Arabidopsis thaliana: one gene and its partners. The protein of the gene in region 1 interacts with the protein of each later gene in a pairwise test. Each region holds a gene or a part of one and is shown in the gene's direction. Other genes may lie near its edges.

Region 1 (8,392 bases):
CTGCAGATTTTTATTTTAGATGTGATTAGAATTAGAAACTGATTTTACTTTGATCATCACAGAGAATCTAAGTACAGACACTGAACCAAGGAGAAAAATAAACAGAAAAGCCAAGAAGTTGATGGCGTACTTGGATACTGGATTGAATTCTAGAATTATAATTGATGTCAAGGTATCAGAAACATTCAAGTAGTATTCTTAACAAATCAGAGAAAGCAGGCCAAATTGTTCAATGAAACCCAACAATTCATACAAGCTCCAGCTAATGATTGAACAAAAAGCCTACTGTTGATGAATGAAATAACAAAGTACCTGTAATGACAACATTAGTGAGATTGTCTCCATGAATGAGGCTGATGTGTCTACCACCAGGTCTCTCTCTCCCTCTTCCATAAGAAGGCAATGGCTCTATTATCGGCCATTCGTCTAGGTCCTATCAAACCATAATTCCAGACAAAAATATCAATATTGTACTTACAACGTAAAATTAAGAATGTAAGAATTAAAAAAAACAGCGTTCCAAAGTATCTATATAAGTACAGATGACTTTTGAGTTTACATCGACACATGAAAATGTGCTCAAACACTAGCAGACAAACTTTTAATCAGAATCAAACTTGACAGCAAAAAAACTCAGTAATAATTTAATACTAAATTAGGAGACAACACAAGTAATCTGATAGATCTAGTTCGTACATGAACATGCTTCAGACAAAAGTTGTCTATACATCTAACTCCTTTCTTGGAATATGATCATATAAAAATGGTTTCTTCCACTTGACTTTTTTTTTGTTACAGCTACTATCGAGACATCACAAGAACATTCATTGAACAAGTCAATCCGAAATTAACAAGTGTTAATACAAAATTCATGCAAAACACTGACTTTTGATATGCAAATCCAGATTTCGCACTACTAGAGACTATCCCCACTCAAAAATAACAGCTTTTTTGCTGTATCAAACAATGGTGGGTCCATTTTAACCACTGACCGTGATTAGCGAAATGAATATAGTGTTTACCAACAAAACTTTATGAACCCACAAATCAAAAAGCAATCACAAACCCAAATTTTGGATTCTCACAGAGCAATCAACAACTAATTGAATTCTCTTAATACTACTACTGTTCAGAACCAATCAACAACAAACAAAGCAAAAAAAAAGTAAACTTTATCAATGTGTTAAAGAATTCAAAACTTTGATATAACCTTGGATCCCAAAATGAGAGCGCCGCGTTCGAGAAAGAGCGTGAAATTGCTGGTGAGGTTGAAGCTTCCAGAAAGCCACGTGCCCTCCGGGACATTGAGCTGGGCCCCACCCTCCGCCGCAAAACCTTCAAGGTGCCTTACGGCGCGGCGGAAAGCGGCCGTGTTCGACGTCTTTCCGTCTCCAACACCGCCGAAATCGGTAATCGACATAACGATCCGGTTAGGGAACGGGTCGTGATTGAAAAACCCGGAGCAGGTAACAGGGTCGTCATATTGAGAAGTCGGGATCCAGAGAGGGAGAAAAGAATTGGAAGAGATTTGGAGAGAGAGAATCGCTAAGACGGTGAAAACAAGGAGAAGAAACGCCCACGAAGGTCTTGTAATGGCACTCAATACTGTGGTCGGATTCTTCTCCGGTTCCATTGTTTTTTGGAAACAGAGAGAAAACTCAAAAGCCCATGAAGCAAGCTCTGAGATAAAATTACAAACAGAAGAATGCTAAAGTGGGACTTTTAGATGGTTGGAGAGAATTATGCATGTGTGTGGCAATGATTAGCGTAGTGTGGTGGTGACAACAAACAAAGGTGGAGGAAGATAGAAAGTCGATAGATACCTTACCTCGAAAATTCGTCTCTCTCTTTGATTATTTTTGTATATATAAATAGAAAAAAGTAGTAGTAAATAAGAAAATTGGATACAGACACAGATATGTCGTGAAAAGGGCACTAAAATATTGGATGGTGCATGTGAATCGTCAAAAAGTGGCAAGGAGAAAGTGAAAGTCTTCACGAATTATATTTTGGTTTATATATAAAAGAAGAAGAAAGAAGAAGAAAGAAGAAGAAAGAAGATGGATGATACACAATCGGTCACGGACTCACGGGTAGGAAGGATTGTGAGGCGTTACAATCTCGTCAGACTTCCAAGTCTTAATCTGATGGGCCTTTAAATAGCCTACTGTACTGAGTTGTTTGTTGTGTTTTTGTTTTGTTTTTTAATGCCAAACTAAGGTATATGTCCGTATTTTATTGCTGGCAACATATACTCTGTCCGTTTGTGTTTTTTGTTTTTTATTTCATTTTTCCTCAAAATTACTTTTGTTCTTTTAAAAATATTAAATGGCATAAATAGTTAAACTATCAACCAGTAAATTATATATGATACAATAATGTTTTTTGTTTTGTTTAATTCATTGGACCAGATGGATTATTCAGCTTACATTTTTCAATATTGAATTGTAATTTTTTAGAGCTATAATCTTTAAAAAAGAATAAAAAAATCAAAAAAGCTTTTGCTCATCTTTGGAATAAACGAACTTGCTATTAAGACCAAGCCCAATAAACAATAAAAGCCCGAAAAAATAGAGCTGGGCCGGTAATTAGGATTATGATGATGGTATATAACTCACTATCAACTATCATGAGTTCATGACCATCATGGTTTATATCTAATGTCATATGATGGATGATGATAAGGTGGGCGAACATAACAAACATGATTCGGAATGAAGTCGTGCGTCTTTGACTTTGACTAGCTCTAAAAAAGCTTTGAAAATGCTCGTCCACGTCATCATCCTCTTTGTCGTTTTCTCAATCTTAAATGTCATTTTTTTAATATAGTTTTCACAGTACAACAACTCAACCCAGTAAAATCCCTTCTTTAAGCAAAGAAAATAATTAAAATTCGTCTTCCTTCCTTGCTCTCGGCGATAACTTGGTTTCTCTCCTCTCTCTCATCTCTCTTTGTTTCGACCCTTTTTTAGTATATTTCCAGGAAATATCTTCTTCCTCCTTTCGTTTTCTCTATCTCAGTTTTCTCTCTTCTCAGCATTAAGTAGTCAACGGTCAGCGATCTCGGCGTTCCTTCTAATCGGAAAAGTCTAGCTTCAGTTTCTTTTTTTTTTGCTTTTTTGGTTTCCGCGATTAATCGATTTGGGTATTTTGATTTTCTCTTCAAATTAAGTCAACGGGTGGATACGCGTTGAGAGGGCTTTTCTCGTATTCTGCTTCTAATTTCATCATCTTGGTATTACCTTGTGTGGGTGGTAGCTTAATCGAAGGATTCGAGATCCCTTTTATCAGGGGTTTTAACAATGATGGATTTTCTCTGATGAGGGATAGTTCTAGGGTTTGTTTTTAATCTCTTGAGGATAAAATGGAACGAAGATTAATGATCCCTTGCTTCTTTTGGTTGATTCTCGTTTTGGATTTGGTTCTCAGAGTCTCGGGCAACGCCGAAGGTTTCCCCTTTCTCTCTCATTCTCTTTCAATTTTTCATTCTTTCCAATTAAATTAGTTTCCCTTGTTGAGTATTTTGATTAGTATAGGCTTATGAGAGCTTGTTCTCACCTAAAGAAGGCATTTTTAACTTATCTGTTACTTGTTTTGCTGTATTGACTTGAGTTATATTTGGGTTACATCTGTTTCGACTGATTCCAGTGATTATGTATCCTCGTGACACTTGATGATTGCAAAGTTTGATTTTTTCTTCTTCTTTGGTTAATTGTAGGTGATGCTCTAAGTGCACTGAAAAACAGTTTAGCCGACCCTAATAAGGTGCTTCAAAGTTGGGATGCTACTCTTGTTACTCCATGTACATGGTTTCATGTTACTTGCAATAGCGACAATAGTGTTACACGTGTGTAAGTTTCTTTCTATATCTAGCCAAGATGATTCGGATTTTCGCATCTACTGAGAATTTACTTGAACTTCATTTTTGCTCAGTGACCTTGGGAATGCAAATCTATCTGGACAGCTCGTAATGCAACTTGGTCAGCTTCCAAACTTGCAGTACTTGTAAGTCATCTTTTCTTTAAAAGGCCGTCTTTTAACTTTTGGTGTATGTGGGATGTTAAAAATGTTACAATGTTCCAAATAACTGCATAATTTTGCATTATCATAGATTATTAGTTATATATCTTTCCGATCTTATGGTGAAATTAATATTAAAGAATGGTAATGACAGGGAGCTTTATAGCAATAACATTACTGGGACAATCCCAGAACAGCTTGGAAATCTGACGGAATTGGTGAGCTTGGATCTTTACTTGAACAATTTAAGCGGGCCTATTCCATCAACTCTCGGCCGACTTAAGAAACTCCGTTTCTTGTATGCACCATATTCTACTCTCTTCTTTTAATACGTTTTTAATAAGCAGCCTAATTATTGTCTTTAGTTTCCTTGATCGTGTTTGTCTTCCTGTAAAAGCTATTCGTGCAACGTGTTACATTTGTAGGAGTCAGAAAGTAGTGTCGCCAAATAGATGCTACGTTATTTTACTAGATGAAAAGGTGTTCTCTTGGAGACTAGGATGTTGTATAATATGGTCTATTTTAATTATGAGCTTTCGTAAAAGGAATCAGAACTCTATCCTTGTGTTCGCTTAATTTTACTGGAACAACACAAAGTTCCGAATTCAGGTGACTGTCTTTTTGGTTGTTCTCGTGTGTCACCTTTGTGATCTTCAATGGTAGTTATTGACTCGCTTATTTTGTATGAAATCGATTTGGTTCTGGAAGAATGAAATTCTATCAAAGATAACAATATTCTTCTGCCTTAGAATTTAAGCGCTAAACCCTATTGTTACTTATTAATTTGTGAGTGCTCTGTAAATCTAGAGGGTGAACGCATCTAAAGTAGTAAGTCGCGCTAATTAGGAAAATATACTTGATTTTTCAATCAGCTTCATATCTGTTGGATGAGATTTTAGAACAACCCCTACTTTTGAAAGTCTTTTAAAGTTTGTATTTTTGCTCTCACTATAAACTCATTACTGGTTAATGTATTTCCACTTATTCATGACATTCTCTTTTTGTATTGGTGGTTAGGCGTCTTAATAACAATAGCTTATCTGGAGAAATTCCAAGGTCTTTGACTGCTGTCCTGACGCTACAAGTTCTGTGAGTGTAACTTTATCTCTCTCAAATTCCTCTGTGTTCATGTTTCTGATTATTGTTTGGCCGATCTTGGCATTAAGTCAGAAAATGATATCATCTTATAATGCAGGGATCTCTCAAACAATCCTCTCACCGGAGATATTCCTGTTAATGGTTCCTTTTCACTTTTCACTCCAATCAGGTTTTGCATCCTGCTCCTAGTTTAAATCTTGGTGGAGAGGTCAGAATGTTTGATTAATTATTTGAAATTTTGCAGTTTTGCCAACACCAAGTTGACTCCCCTTCCTGCATCTCCACCGCCTCCTATCTCTCCTACACCGCCATCACCTGCAGGTTTTTTTTTGTATATGTCTTTGTCTTTGAAATGTTATTCAACTGAATAAGTAAACATTTTAAGCAGATCCATTAAGTATTAAGAAAGAGATTGTTCATTTCATTCTTGCAGGGAGTAATAGAATTACTGGAGCGATTGCGGGAGGAGTTGCTGCAGGTGCTGCACTTCTATTTGCTGTTCCGGCCATTGCACTAGCTTGGTGGCGAAGGAAAAAGCCGCAGGACCACTTCTTTGATGTACCAGGTTAGCTAAACTTGCTTTACCTGTTTCCTCATTAACACTTCTCTTGCTGATTTTTTTTTATTACCGTCTTTTTGCAGCTGAAGAGGACCCAGAAGTTCATTTAGGACAACTGAAGAGGTTTTCATTGCGTGAACTACAAGTTGCTTCGGATAATTTTAGCAACAAGAACATATTGGGTAGAGGTGGTTTTGGTAAAGTTTATAAAGGACGGTTAGCTGATGGTACTTTAGTGGCCGTTAAAAGGCTAAAAGAGGAGCGCACCCAAGGTGGCGAACTGCAGTTCCAGACAGAGGTTGAGATGATTAGTATGGCGGTTCACAGAAACTTGCTTCGGCTTCGTGGATTTTGCATGACTCCAACCGAAAGATTGCTTGTTTATCCCTACATGGCTAATGGAAGTGTTGCCTCCTGTTTAAGAGGTATCTCTCATCTTGTGCCTTTTTCTTTGACTGCAATATTTCCGTCCAATGGTTGCCTTTTTATCCGTAGTAATCTTATATTTTATTTTCTCCTTAGAACGTCCCGAGTCCCAGCCACCACTTGATTGGCCAAAGAGACAGCGTATTGCGTTGGGATCTGCAAGAGGGCTTGCGTATTTACATGATCATTGCGACCCAAAGATTATTCATCGAGATGTGAAAGCTGCAAATATTTTGTTGGATGAAGAGTTTGAAGCCGTGGTTGGGGATTTTGGACTTGCAAAACTCATGGACTACAAAGACACACATGTGACAACCGCAGTGCGTGGGACAATTGGTCATATAGCCCCTGAGTACCTTTCCACTGGAAAATCATCAGAGAAAACCGATGTCTTTGGGTATGGAGTCATGCTTCTTGAGCTTATCACTGGACAAAGGGCTTTTGATCTTGCTCGCCTCGCGAATGATGATGATGTCATGTTACTAGACTGGGTATATACATATATGAGTTTCCCACTTGTATAGTTCATTATCTGTGTTACCTCTATTTGTGTTAATTATTCATTTCGACAGGTGAAAGGGTTGTTAAAAGAGAAGAAATTGGAAGCACTAGTAGATGTTGATCTTCAGGGTAATTACAAAGACGAAGAAGTGGAGCAGCTAATCCAAGTGGCTTTACTCTGCACTCAGAGTTCACCAATGGAAAGACCCAAAATGTCTGAAGTTGTAAGAATGCTTGAAGGAGATGGTTTAGCTGAGAGATGGGAAGAGTGGCAAAAGGAGGAAATGTTCAGACAAGATTTCAACTACCCAACCCACCATCCAGCCGTGTCTGGCTGGATCATTGGCGATTCCACTTCCCAGATCGAAAACGAATACCCCTCGGGTCCAAGATAAGATTCGAAACACGAATGTTTTTTCTGTATTTTGTTTTTCTCTGTATTTATTGAGGGTTTTAGCTTCTGCTGCTCCATATTATTGGTTCTTAAGTGAATACATGAGGATCAGATTGGGTTTGTAAGTGTTATATGATGAAAAAGGATTTGAATGTTGTTGAAAGCTAAAACCCAAACATGTCTTAAGCTCACCACTTGAGGATTGTTGCGCACTTGATTCACAAATATGTATCCCATCAATTATTCTTTTTCACCGTGCGTCAGGTTTCTTTTCTTACCGGTTTCTGTGTTATCATGTGATTTCTAGATCCGGAGATTGTTCAGAAGAAAAGGAGACTTTTGCCTTTAAATAGCAATTGGACAAGAAAATGCAACCAAAGTATATTACTTTTTGATGGATATCTGAACCACACAAGCAATAAGTATACAACTGCATATTACGAGAGTACACAATTTTTACATAGTAGCCTAGAAGATTCATGATTCTTCATATAACAAGAGTAGAGAACTTATTATAAATACAAAAATCGTAAGTAGATGTGGTCTAGCCTAATTAATACTCCGACAATTTTGACGGACTTCACCTTGAGAGCCAAGTTTAACATCAAGATTGCTCATCTTGCGCATGGCCTGTTGGAAATCAAAGAAGAACTTGGCTTGGTTAAGTGCATAGCCGTTAACAAGATTCCTGGTCCTTGGTGTGTTGAATAAAGTTTGGTCTGAAAAGAGGACTCCTGATTTCATCTGAAGCGCATTGAAGTAAGCATTGTCGAAATCGTTGCGCGTAGCATCAAAGGGTTGCTCTGCATTGTCACCCGCGCTGCATGTTTTAGAGAGAGTGTTTGCAAAAGTCGAGTCTAATGAAGAGTCTGGGACGGTAAGTCTAGCCTTGAAGGAGGAGCATCGTGCAACTCCTAGGGTATGTGCTCCTATATATATATCCCCACAAATTATTAAGTTAAAACCAAATTAGATTATCACACACAATACACATATATTAGTTCTTTAAAGAACTGACCAGAGAGAGCAACAACATCTTGTGGAGTGAAACCACGTTGGCCAAAAGTTTGAATGAGTTGAGAGGCATTAAGAAAAGGTGAAGGTAGATTTCTTGTATCTTCTATCTTTGATCTTTTACCATCAAACCTTCCTTTCGGTATGTCATAATATGGACCACCAGCCTAACAATTTCAATTACTAATTATGTTAAGTACACTAATTAATCATATTTACTATAATCACATAAAGGTAATTCAAAAACGTGATCAAATAAATTACCCAAAAGACAGCATCTCTAGCAGCCATGGCAACTATATCTGCGCATGATACAACTCCTGGACATCTATTCTCGATTTTCTCCTTTGCATCATCGATGATCTCGTAGCCACGTAGAC
Region 2 (6,249 bases), on another chromosome or scaffold:
TGTATCTTGAAAGATGATAACTTTAGTCTTGTTGTTTGGAACCCGTATTGGGGACAAACAAGGTGGATCAAACCCAGATGTTCTTTCGAAATACCCCAGGGATGTGACATGTACAGGTACGCTATTGGATACGACAACAAGAGACGCAACCACAAGATCTTGAGGTTTATAGATTATGAATTCCATTACCCTCGAGACAACGTTGTTTTGTGGTATGAAATCTATGATTTTGAGTCTGATTTATGGACGACTCTTGATGTTACTACTCCACATTGGTTGATAAATTGTGGTAACCGTGGTGTTACTCTCAAGGGAAACACTTACTGGTGTGCTAAAAAAAGGAACTCTGACCTTTTTCTCAATGCTGATCATATAATCTGTTTTGATTTCACAAGTGAGAGGTTTGGTCCGCTTCTGCTTTTGCCGTTTAGTGATTTGGATGGTGTTGTTACTCTAGCTTGTGTTAGAGAGGAGAAGCTTGCGGCTTTAGTTTGTCACGAGGATGTTGTTGAGGTTTGGATTACGATTAAGATTGAGGCCAATGAGGTATTGTGGAGCAAGTTCTTGACAGTGAATGTTGATTTGGGTGATGAGATTCCGAGTTCACTGACATATGGTAGTTTTTTCATCGACGAGGAGAAGAAAGTTGCTATGATTTTTGATAAAACTTTGGATCGCGGCGACACAGTTCACATCATGGGAGAGGCTGGATATGGTGGACAAGTTGATCTCGGAGAACCGGTTAATAAAAGACGTTGCCCACTTGTGTGCTCTTATGTTCCGAGTTTAGTGCAAATCAAGAAACCTGCAGGATTCCAAAGGAAACAGCAAAGCAAGTTAGAAAAGCGTCAATATGTTCGAAACATATCGAAACTTCGCGCACTTAAAACCCAAAGTTCTTGGACATTAAGTATGTCACTTGAATGTCATCAACAGTAAGATTTATGTTTCTTGGCTCGTACTTCGATTTATTACTGCTATGTTTTAGACTGATACTTTACTAAATATTACATGGCTTCATCAGGAGCTTGGTAGAGTGAGAAAGCATTGCCAGCCGATTTTTGCCCGTATAGCTCCGTCTCAGTTTGTTTCGGGCCATTGTTGAAAGGACTTCCTGTGCGCTTTTTTGTCGATCAATAGTTTAGACCGCTCTTTTTTGTTGCCACTTTCTTGCTTAGGGGAGTCTTTAGATCGAGTTTTCTTCATCTTCTTACTAAGAGCCTCATCGCTTAAGGTTTAGTTGATGCGATGAATCTCGAAAGGATTATGCTTCCATGTTTTTTTCCTTTTTTTGGCATGGGACCATGTTTGTAGGTTTTGCTTCTTGTAACTCCTAAACTTTCATTTTATATGATATTTACATTCTTATCAAAAAAAAAAATATATATATTACATGGCTTCATGCTAAAGGACATGATATTAATCAGATTTTTAAAATTTAAAGATGGTGGAACCTCAGGTTTTCGATAATATAATTTAGAGATAGCTTCTGTTATCTGGCCTAGTCTCTACAAAGTTTTTAAAACCGAACCAGCGACTCGACTAGATGGCATTGTCGATATATCTATCTAGCAGAATTTCAGTAGCAGAGTCTTTTTAGTGAGAGGGTCAGGTGCATTATCAGTCCTTGGAAACATCAAAGACAAGAGCAAGTTGTTCATGCTCAAACTAAAAGATTACCATCCACCATTTTGGGATATATATTCAACTTCTTACTCTTTGACATCTTGGAAGTCTTCCACATCCTCTTCTTCTTAGGTCGTTATCTTCATAAACATCTTCTTCAGTCAAATCTGCCTCACCTTCTGAGTAGCAAATATTTTAAACCAGACCATTTGTACTTCTGACTATTCTTCTGTCCGATATGTATCTCTTTAGAAGATCTTGGTGCATAATGGCCTAATGGGGATCATCATTAATTAGGAAATAAAAATCAATTCTTATATGTGCTGAGAAAAAAAAAAAAAAGCTTTGAAGTTAAAACTAGAAATAATAAAACATATTGGATTAAAGATAATTAATGTGGATCCATGGAATGATCGATCATGACGAGAAATAAAATATTATGGGGAATATATAAAGAAAGAAAAATGTGCAAGATGATTAGTATGAAAATAACATTCCCTTAGTTTCACAATATAAGTGTTTTGGAGAAATTTTTGTTTCGAATGTTTTCAAAATTTTATGCAAATTATAGATTTTTTTATTTTTATAATTATATATATATATTATATGGTCTATTTTATGATTGGTTAACTTTTTAAAAAAATAAACATGAGTTATTGAGGTTTCAAGAAGAAAGTTTTATGTTTATGGCCATCAAGACTGAAATAATGTTTTGTTTTTCTTATTTCCGTCGACTTTCGTCTTTTTCAAAATCGCAACTTTTATATATATTTTTTTCTCTCGCCTTTCGATCATCGGAAAAGCTCTTTTTCAAGTCTCCCCAACTCATAACTTTGAATTTTCTATTTGCCCCCTCATAAAATTTGCTTCTATTCTCTTTGTTTGTTGGAGTTCTCAAGATCTGTTTGATTCTGAATCCTTGTAATTTTTGTATCCAACCAGTAACAAATGGGGTTTTGTGAAGGTTTATGAGTTTCCCATATTCAAATGGCGATCTTTTAGTCTGAGTAAAATTGTGGTTCTTATCTGTTTTTGTTAAAGTTTCGATTTTTATTTTGAGGGTTGAATTCGAGAAATTTTGATGGAAGCGGGTAGCTCCAATTCGTCGGGTCAGCTATCCGGGCGGGTCGTTGATACAAGAGGCAAACACAGGATTCAAGCTGAACTCAAAAGGCTTGAACAAGAAGCTCGATTCTTAGAGGTATTTTACTCTCCTCTTAATCTTAAACCCTTTCTTGTTTCGACGTGCTTGGGCCTTTTGGCTGATTATATCATATAATTACAGATTGGATCAATCTGTTGTTTTTGTGCTTCGGCTCTTTTTGGATGGAATAGTATAAATCTGAGTGGAGTACGGTAGAGACTTTCAAAGTTTGAAACTTTTTTAGTTTTGGGAATCAATTTGATTTAGGGGTTTTTGTTGTTGTTGGTATTCAATGAGTGAAAAAAAAAAAACAGGTTTTGTTGTAGCAGTTGGTATTGTGGGGTTGCTTTTAGTGAGTTAATAGTACTTGTCTCTTGATATAGTTCCTTTTTATATGCTTAACAAGATTGGATCTTAGATTAATGGAATCGATCTGACTTTAAGAAATGTAGTGTAGAACTGTCTCCTTTTAAAGAGATTTTTGTGATGCTAAATGTTACTTGAGTGAGAGAGTAGATCCTTTGCGAACAATATGCTTCTGTTGATAAAACAAATCACCAGGGTCAGTAATTAGGAAGGTTCAAGAATGGTGAGGAGTGAAACTGAAATGTAGTTTAAGCTCTTGAGCATATTTCATTCAGGTGTAATAATATCTTGACTCTTGATCCCTTGAGGTTTAAGCTCTTGTCTACGTAGCTGTTATGACATTTGTGAACTCAAATGCTTGCTTAAAAGCGTTACAAGGTTTTAACTTTCTTCCTTCATTTATTATATTCAGGAAGAGCTGGAGCAGCTTGAGAAGATGGACAATGCATCAGCATCCTGCAAAGAGTAAGAACTTGTTACATAACTGATATCCGGTTCACGAATAATCATTCCACAAGCTTGACTAGTTTCTCGAATGGATGCAGGTTCTTAGACAGTGTTGACAGCAAACCCGATCCTCTTCTTCCCGAGTAATTCTTCTTCTGTTTTCTGATAGTTTCATTTCAATAGACTGTGAGATGATTAGGTCTGATATGTTTGCTTTTGTGACTACTTGCAGAACAACAGGTCCGGTGAATGCGACATGGGATCAATGGTTCGAAGGCCCTAAAGAAGCAAAACGATGTGGCTGCTCCATTCTTTGATCTTCCTTTCCTTCTCTCAAAATATTTTTGTCTCTACTTCTTCCAGAAGAGTGAGTTTGTGTTTTTACGTTCCCGCGGCAGTGAATTTGATGTAATTGGCAAAAAAAAAAATTGATTCATTTGTGCAGTAAAAAATCTATTGATCTTGATGTGTCTCTTAATTTAAGAAGACCACAGTGCCAAATTCACGCCACCACAAGAAAATCTAGCACAGTGGCCGTCGGTGATCCCCACACCAATGCATCTCAGTTCCAGATTGTCTTGGAAAAGTTCTCGTTTCTCGATGGTTTACATGTCGTGTTCGGGCAAGTTGTTGAAGGACTCGACGTGCTCAGGAGCATTGAAGACGAGGTTGGAACTTTGAACAGGATTCCTTCCAAGCCGGTGGTTATCGCAGACTGTGGTGAGCTCTGAGAGAGGCTACAATGGTGTCTTGTCTTGTTTTAATGGTTGCTCTGTTTTTGTTTTTAGTTCGTTTGGATTTTGAGTTTGGTGGTAGTTTTAAATCTGAAACAAAACAAGATTTTTTTCTTCCATATATGAAAATTCTGGACACAGTTTCAATGAGAGCAACCAAAATAGTTGAAGCTTGTTACATAAAAGTCAAGAGGATACAATGTTAAAGAACATATGAAGGAGACAAAAGAAACAAAGAAGAATAGTACGTACTCTCTCTGATTCAGTTCTGGTTTCCCCTTAACTCGTGGCTTTACCGGTAACTTTTTGGGCAATCCAACCGAGCCCATCATACAATCCTTCTCCAGTAACCGCACAACTTGCTTGAATATGCCAATCATGGTTCTTGATACTGTGAAGGTTAAGTGCATCCGTGATCTCAGCAGGAGTCATTGCGTCTTTCAGATCCTGTTTGTTTGCAAAAACTAGTATGACCGAGTTTTGAAGATCCTCATGACCAAGTAACCTGGCTAGCTCATCTTTCATGAAAGAGATTCTGGCTCTGTCTGTGCTATCTATAACCACAATCACAGCATGTGTTCCACGATAGTATGTTGCCCATGAAGTTCTTAGCCTATCTTGCCCACCAAGATCCCATACCTAAAGACAACATATCATAAAAGTAAACATCGCCTCAAATATTCGATTGCCAGTGTCCAACAGTTAGTTTTTGACAGGAAACAATTCAAACTTTAGTAAGTTTAGTTACGTTTATATTCATCATTGAGTTTTGACATATAAGAACACATGCAGATTGTCATAAAACAGAGATGAATTCATCTCAGGCCATGACTTTGACCACTGTATAAAGATGTTCCAAACAGTCCTCTGGCAAAAAAACTAAGCTAATGGGAAATAGCAAACAGTTCCTCCGGTATAACAAACAAGCTAGATAAACAACATCTACAAAAATTTACTATACAAAACCATAAATCGCACATACGAAAACGTTCATTATGAGTTTCTGACACCTTCTCAACCAATCATGACAAGAACTTAGACAAAAACATCATCCATTTTTCAACGAGAAAAATGCACACACCCAAGCAAGAAACATAGCTAGGGACAATAACACAATCAAAAGATGGCAATGGCAAATTTAAGAAACATCCATAAAGTTTCAAACTTCTAAAACACGTCCCTAGATAAGAAGCTAAGAAACAACTTCACCCAAATGAATAAAGAAAGAGTCCAGTACCTCAAAGCGAATATTCTTGTAGACAAGCTCTTCAACATTGCTACCAACAGTAGGATGAGTAGTAACAACTTCACCCAAATGAAGTTTATAAAGCGTCGTCGTTTTACCAGCATTATCCAAACCAACAACAACAATCTTATACTCTTTTGCAGGAAACATCATGAACCAAAACCTCGACATGAATGCTCCCATCTCCTCCAATTTCTATCACAAACAAGATCCTAATCAAATAAAACACATCATTACTTTTACGATCAAATTGTTCTACAAACAGAGTGAAATCGAGAAACCCTAAAGATACATCCTTTAAATTGACCCATCAATTTTACAAACCCAAGTAATTGAATCAGAGAAGCCCAGATCAGATTTGGATACAACGATCCCAGATTCGATAAAGTTAACCAAATCTAAATTATATATATACAAATCGGGAAATTTGTGATCAAACCTTGAATCAGCTAGAATCTGAAGATTGCAGAGGTAAGAATCGGAGATCAAAAAAAGTTCTTCTTCTACTATTTTGTAAGCTTTTGAGGTTCCTTCCTTAAAGCAGATGGGTGGAGAGAAGAAGAAGAAGAAAAGTATGCGGGAAACAATGTCAAAACTGTAAATATGATGATCTAAATTATTAATAACTTTTAATATAACAAATATTAAAATGAAAACTATATAGTAATGTTTTCTTTTACTTACCC
Region 3 (6,674 bases), on another chromosome or scaffold:
TAGTTTTGTTCAAATGGTAAAAGCTGATGCTGTAGTTGATAAAATGCATGTATTTTGAGCAAATATTCTACCTTTGTATCGTACTGAGAAGGTCGAAATGGGATAAGCTGAGAAGATCTCATTCTTGTATCCATTTCCCAGTTTTGTTGTGGAAACTGAAAATCTCAGTTTTGTTGTTATTGGTATAATGTGCTGTGTATAAGTTTATCTCATGTAGGATAGTGTTTGCTAAAGCCGGAACTTTTATAGAATCGAGTTGTGTTCAAGATATCTTTCGTATATAAACCAAACTAGAGTTTATAGATGTTTGACCCTAATCAATCTTTTGGATTGGGAAGTTTATAGGTGTTACGCATGCTTACATGTTCTCCTGTATTTTGGTTTAGCCTTGAGGAAAATGAAAAGCTAGTGTTGACTCCATTCGAAAAGAACCTTGACATCTGGAGACAGCTTTGGAGAGTGCTTGAACGCAGTGATTTGGTAAGTCTTTGTCAATAATGTATTAACCTTCTCAATAAGTTCAATTTCTGCGTTTTAGTTAATTGCAAAACAGTTTTGATTACTTATACTTGTCCTTTTTTCAGATTGTTATGGTAGTTGATGCTAGAGATCCACTGTTTTACCGCTGCCCTGATCTTGAGGTAATGCATTTTCTCCCAGCTTGAAACTCCACTTGGCACCGTATTCCTGATTCATATTTACTTGAAGATTCATCGTGACACAGGCATATGCTCAAGAAATTGATGAGCATAAAAAAATAATGCTTCTAGTGAACAAGGCGGATCTTTTACCTACTGATGTCAGGTTAGCCAATCCTCTTGTGCCTTAATACTTTGCCTCCAACCTTTTTTGTATTCTAACCGATTGGTTTAACTTTTGACTTGTAGGGAGAAATGGGCAGAATATTTCCGCCTTAACAACATTCTGTTTGTTTTCTGGTCAGCCATAGCTGCTACAGCTACCCTAGAAGGTAAAGTCTTGAAAGAGCAATGGAGACAACCCGATAACTTGCAGAAGACAGATGATCCAGACATTATGATATATGGCAGAGACGAGCTGTTGAGTCGTTTGCAATTTGAGGCTCAAGAGATTGTCAAAGTAAGGAATTCTAGAGCAGCATCCGTATCATCACAGTCATGGACTGGTGAATATCAACGTGATCAAGCCGTGGTTGGATTTGTTGGGTACCCAAATGTTGGAAAGAGTTCTACAATCAATGCATTGGTGGGTCAGAAGCGAACAGGTGTCACCTCTACCCCAGGAAAAACAAAGCATTTCCAGACTTTGATCATCTCTGATGAGCTTATGCTATGCGATTGCCCTGGTTTAGTCTTCCCTTCGTTCTCAAGCTCAAGATATGAAATGATTGCTTCTGGTGTACTTCCGATTGACCGGATGACGGAGCACCGTGAAGCTATTCAGGTGGTGGCTGACAAGGTCCCTCGCCGTGTAATTGAGAGTGTGTACAACATTTCTCTTCCTAAACCCAAAACCTATGAGCGTCAGTCCCGCCCGCCTCATGCTGCAGAGCTCTTAAAAAGTTACTGTGCTTCTCGTGGCTATGTTGCCTCGAGTGGACTACCGGATGAAACGAAAGCTGCAAGGCTGATTCTGAAAGATTACATTGGAGGTAAGCTGCCACATTATGCAATGCCACCTGGAATGCCCCAAGCTGATGAACCGGACATAGAAGACACTCAAGAACTGGAGGATATTCTCGAAGGTTCAGAGTCCGATGACTCTGCAGTAGGAGATGAGACAGAAAACGAGCAAGTTCCTGGTATTGATGATGTGCTAGATGATCTGAGCTCGTTTGATCTTGCCAATGGGCTTAAGTCTTCAAAGAAAGTGACAGCAAAGAAGCAAACCGCGTCACATAAACAGCACAAAAAGCCACAGAGGAAAAAGGATCGGACTTGGAGGGTTCAAAACACAGAAGATGGAGATGGAATGCCTTCTGTTAAAGTTTTCCAGAAACCAGCTAACACAGGTCCTCTTACGATGCGGTGATTATCAAATTGTAGTCCATCCAAGCAAAGATGGCAACCGAAGCTACTTAAAGTTTTTTTTTTTTTTTCAAAAAATGTAACAGCAGTTGAACCTGTCGCAGTAGTTCTCGAGTGTCTTGATGTTTTTGTTTTTATGATTAAAGTCTTATTTTGGGGAAAAGTAGAAAAAAGTGACAACTCAAATCTGGTGGAAAATGGAGAATTGTTTTTGCCAGTTGGAGATACCTATCGCTTTGTTTTGAGAATATAATAGCCATAAATAGAGTTTTCATGTAACTTTAAACTTTTTTCTTATTTGGGGTTTGGACTCTTTTGAACAATAAATAGTGATAATGAAACTTTAAAGTTTAAACATTTCAATAACCAATTCTTGTTGCTAAATATGTCATTACCAAATCGATATAAAACCAAAGTAAATAGAAATGTTATAGTGATTTCGGTTCGTACGTTTGGCAATGAGTTGGTTCGTGTCTCTCGTTCCATTGGCGTCCTTGAGGGTTAAGACTGATTAGGCTTTGTTGTACTTATGGAGAGAGGAGAGAGAAACTTGAGATAAACAAAAAAAAAAAATTGGTTTTTCCTAAATGTGTGAATGTCTGCTTGCTGCATCGTTTTATTAATTTCCCTGGAAAATAACTGTTTCTGTTTGTTGTAAACAAGCCTCGAGGATCTGACCGGTGAATGAAAGAAAACTAGGGTTTCGATTTTACCGGAATATTCTCCGAGAGAGCGGCAAGTTTAACATCAGATATGTTGTTGATCACAGATTCGCTTTTCTGCGAATTTTAGCTGGATCGGTCTTTCTTTAGTTAGTTTTTTTTTTTTGTTTTCCCACTTTTGAAGCTTTTTGATAATGGATGAAGATTCGTCTATGGTGGCTGACAACGATCAGGATCGTGAGTTTCAGAGCCTTGATGGAGGCCAATCTCCTTCGCCTATGGAAAGAGAAACGCCTCAGCAGATGAACGACCAATCACCTCCTCCTGAAGGCGGATCGGTGCCTACGCCGCCGCCTTCGGATCCTAATCCGGCAACTTCTCAGCAGCAAGCGGCTGCGGTTGTTGGACAAGAGCAGCAGCCGGCGCTAGTTGTTGGTCCGAGGTGTGCACCTACGTATTCGGTGGTGGATGCTATGATGGATAAAAAAGAGGATGGGCCTGGCCCTAGGTGTGGTCACACCTTGACGGCTGTGCCTGCTGTTGGTGATGAAGGAACGCCTGGTTATATTGGTCCTCGTCTTGTATTGTTTGGTGGTGCGACGGCTCTTGAGGGAAATTCTGGTGGCACCGGAACTCCTACTTCAGCTGGAAGTGCCGGCATTCGTACGTTTTCCTTCTCTGCTTGTTAAATAGTTTTAAGTATCACCGCTCTACATTTTCCTTCTCCTTTGCCTAACTATTGTGAAGTTGTAGTTTGCCTTCCTTGCTTTGAAGGTTCTCTCCTGAACGATTGAAAAAGTTAACTCTTTTCTTATGGCTTAATTATTCTGATAGAGGGCCCTTGCCAAGCCTTGAACTTTTAAAGATTTACCTATTTCAAAGATATACGCTGGTTATTTGCTTGCAATCTTGTGAGATCGTCTAAGTTTGGAAACTTTAGTTCTGAAAGCTTCACATCTGTTAAATTTAACTGGCAATCTGAGGTGGCAGTGTTTCCTCAACATTTATTGCATCCTATTTCATTTGGAATCGGTAGAGCAAAGAGCTTGATGTAGTACCAGGGCACAGTATTGGCTGTGGAATGTTAGATCACTAATTCCGTTTATTTGCTGATAGATTCTATGTTCTAGTTCTTGTTATTTCTTAAGGTTCCTAGATTTATCTGGTTGTATTAATTAATTTGGGTGTTCTTTTCTCTGCAGGGCTAGCTGGGGCAACTGCTGATGTTCATTGTTATGATGTACTTTCTAATAAGTGGACTAGGTGAGCATTAAATGTGAATGTCTTTGGGTTTTCACGCTAATTATGAAAAATGCATGAGATCCTACCCCGTTTAAAAGTGTGGATACCAGTTAATTAAATGAATTGAGGCTACAGGCTTACACCTTTTGGAGAACCACCAACCCCGAGGGCCGCACATGTTGCAACTGCAGTCGGGACCATGGTAGTTATTCAGGTAGGGGAGAAATGATGTTTTTATATTATGTGTATGATTTAAGTTTATCAATGTAAGATGAGCATTTCCAGTCAGCTATGAAAGTGCTTATAAATTCTTTCTGTTGTACAGGGTGGAATTGGTCCTGCTGGTTTATCGGCTGAAGACCTTCATGTTCTTGATCTCACTCAACAACGGCCACGATGGCACAGGTTTGAAAATATGCCTGCCACTATCTCGGTTGAAAATTCATTTTACTAGTTCGTGTCTTGATATTGATTATGTCTCTATCCAGGGTTGTTGTTCAGGGTCCTGGACCAGGACCTCGTTATGGACATGTCATGGCACTCGTGGGGCAAAGGTATCTCATGGCAATTGGTGGAAATGATGGTAAGCAGTTTTCCATATTGGCTTATTCTCAGTGTTTTATGTAAGGGTATCATATTCTCATTAAAGCTTCACCCTTCTGAACTCCATTCGAACTACTAGGAAAACGTCCACTTGCTGATGTATGGGCCTTGGATACTGCCGCCAAGCCTTATGAATGGCGTAAGTTGGAACCAGAAGGGGAAGGTCCACCTCCCTGCATGTAAGTTTGATTAGACTCCTTTATGATTGTGAGCTTTCTGGAGTAATTGTTTATATCTGTTTGTACGTTGTAACTAGGTATGCAACTGCAAGTGCGCGCTCCGATGGTCTTCTTCTCCTCTGTGGTGGAAGGGATGCAAACAGTGTGGTAAGTGAAGAGATTTATTACAGTCATACCCAATTATCTCTTTGAAACAAACACTGAGCCACTTATAGAGGCATGATTCTATTTTGGCTTTTGCTTTTAGTGTGAGATAAAAATGGGACCGTGAGATTTAGTCAATTAATTTATAGAGGTTGAGTTTTGTCACTGAGCAAATTGAAAAGTATTTTATTTCCCCAGCTACAAATTTATTAATGGTCCAATGAACGATCTTCATTCTATGTTCCAGAGCAGATGGAGATGTAACTCTTCTCTGCTAGGTAAATTAATCAAGAGTTTGTGTGTGTTTCAACACAGACTCTGAAGAAGTAACAAACATAAATTGTGTGCAAGACCTCGTGAAGCTTCTACGAGAAAAGGAACTATAATTTCTTTTGTCAACAAGGAATGAGCTTATTATCAATTATGTGTTTATACATGATCATGAGAAGTTGTCAATTCTGCGTAAAGTGAAATATGAAACTTAATGGACTGCTTTAATCTTGAATGGTTGATTGAGGAGCTTAATTTTTTTCTACGTTTGAATTGATAGCCTCTGGCCAGTGCATATGGACTTGCGAAGCACAGAGATGGACGTTGGGAATGGGCCATAGCCCCTGGTGTCTCACCATCTTCCAGATATCAGCATGCAGCAGTATGGATGCTTCTTCCTCTTTGGTTCTCTTTTCTGTCCTCATCAGAATTATTAAATTCTTTGGTTAATTATTTAGGTCTTTGTAAATGCAAGACTTCATGTGTCCGGTGGGGCACTTGGTGGTGGACGCATGGTTGAAGACTCATCCAGTGTTGCAGGTTAGCAAATGAAAAGAGGCAGTCTGATGTTTGTGCTGTTGGATTATCATTGAGGAAATACTTGAGTTTCCATATAATTTCTGCACCACTTTTAGTCTTCTGTTGGCCATTGTTGAAATGTGTCTCATGTATAGACGATAGTTGTATATTTTGGTTTTGTACTAAAATGTGCATTGAGTTCATCTACAATTCTCTGATTATTTCATCTATTGTCTTTGTACAGTATTGGATACTGCAGCAGGTGTATGGTGTGATACAAAATCAGTTGTTACTAGTCCTAGAACTGGTAGGTATAGTGCCGATGCAGCTGGTGGCGATGCTTCGGTTGAGCTGACTAGGCGGTGTAGGCATGCTGCTGCTGCAGTCGGTGATTTGATATTTATCTACGGTGGTTTACGTGGAGGTAAAGAGCTGGCAGAACTTTGCTAATGTACCTTTGATGCTTTGTTACAGACCAACATTGTTTAGATATCACAATTCTTTTGCATGCTTCTTAATGAGGATAAACCAATATATACGGTTGGATTGTTCTTTAAATGTGGCATAATGTACATTGTGTAGCCAGTGTGTGCTACTGTAGAATTACGCCTTCTTTACTAGGTATTGCTTTTCGTCAGAATCTGAGAGACCATAACAGAAATAGCGAATATATAAAATTCCTGCATTCTTTAGAAATTATGGTTTCACTACTTAATTATATATTGTTGATACTTTAGGGGTGTTACTCGATGACTTATTGGTTGCTGAAGATCTTGCTGCTGCGGAAACAACATATGCTGCTTCTCATGCTGCTGCAGCTGCGGCAACAAATTCTCCACCAGGTCGATTACCTGGAAGGTATGGTTTTTCAGATGAAAGGAACAGGGAGTTATCTGAATCAGCTGCTGATGGCGCTGTGGTGCTGGGAAGCCCTGTTGCACCCCCTGTAAATGGTGATATGCATACTGATATTAGCCCTGAAAATGCATTACTTCCAGGAACTCGGTTAGCTAACTTCCCTAAAGAATGATTTATCTTGTGCCGTATTG

What was found. Proteins that work in one complex are often made in the same cells at the same time.
Region 2: the proteins of BAK1 (region 1) and AGG2 interact in a two-hybrid assay, tested with the Arabidopsis thaliana proteins (one study listed by BioGRID).
Region 3: the proteins of BAK1 (region 1) and BSL2 come close enough for resonance energy transfer, tested with the Arabidopsis thaliana proteins (one study listed by BioGRID).

The regions. Positions count from the first base shown.
Region 1 is NC_003075.7:16,085,261-16,093,652, reverse strand, and holds BAK1 (BRI1-associated receptor kinase), read left to right. Parts: upstream 1-2,875; 5' UTR 2,876-3,364; coding exon 3,365-3,449; intron 3,450-3,718; coding exon 3,719-3,851; intron 3,852-3,933; coding exon 3,934-4,005; intron 4,006-4,174; coding exon 4,175-4,318; intron 4,319-4,445; coding exon 4,446-4,586; intron 4,587-5,037; coding exon 5,038-5,109; intron 5,110-5,215; coding exon 5,216-5,287; intron 5,288-5,362; coding exon 5,363-5,439; intron 5,440-5,551; coding exon 5,552-5,683; intron 5,684-5,760; coding exon 5,761-6,102; intron 6,103-6,199; coding exon 6,200-6,594; intron 6,595-6,675; coding exon 6,676-6,999; 3' UTR 7,000-7,342; downstream 7,343-8,392. Other genes in the region: AT4G33440 (Pectin lyase-like superfamily protein), read right to left, coding at 313-433, 1,211-1,633; AT4G33420 (Peroxidase superfamily protein), read right to left, coding at 7,548-7,927, 8,017-8,179, 8,277-8,392.
Region 2 is NC_003074.8:8,131,768-8,138,016, forward strand, and holds AGG2 (G-protein gamma subunit 2), read left to right. Parts: upstream 1-2,309; 5' UTR 2,310-2,707; coding exon 2,708-2,827; intron 2,828-3,548; coding exon 3,549-3,601; intron 3,602-3,681; coding exon 3,682-3,726; intron 3,727-3,815; coding exon 3,816-3,900; 3' UTR 3,901-4,437; downstream 4,438-6,249. Other genes in the region: AT3G22940 (F-box associated ubiquitination effector family protein), read left to right, coding at 1-939; ARFC1 (ADP-ribosylation factor C1), read right to left, coding at 4,597-4,956, 5,555-5,746. UniProt on the Arabidopsis thaliana protein: Guanine nucleotide-binding proteins (G proteins) are involved as a modulator or transducer in various transmembrane signaling systems.
Region 3 is NC_003070.9:2,647,097-2,653,770, forward strand, and holds the start of BSL2 (BRI1 suppressor 1 (BSU1)-like 2), read left to right. Parts: upstream 1-2,362; 5' UTR 2,363-2,862; coding exon 2,863-3,331; intron 3,332-3,870; coding exon 3,871-3,931; intron 3,932-4,045; coding exon 4,046-4,124; intron 4,125-4,235; coding exon 4,236-4,315; intron 4,316-4,398; coding exon 4,399-4,493; intron 4,494-4,592; coding exon 4,593-4,692; intron 4,693-4,769; coding exon 4,770-4,839; intron 4,840-5,386; coding exon 5,387-5,488; intron 5,489-5,564; coding exon 5,565-5,646; intron 5,647-5,869; coding exon 5,870-6,049; intron 6,050-6,362; coding exon 6,363-6,630; intron 6,631-6,674. Other genes in the region: AT1G08410 (P-loop containing nucleoside triphosphate hydrolases superfamily protein), read left to right, coding at 387-480, 585-641, 725-804, 888-2,010. UniProt on the Arabidopsis thaliana protein: Phosphatase involved in elongation process, probably by acting as a regulator of brassinolide signaling.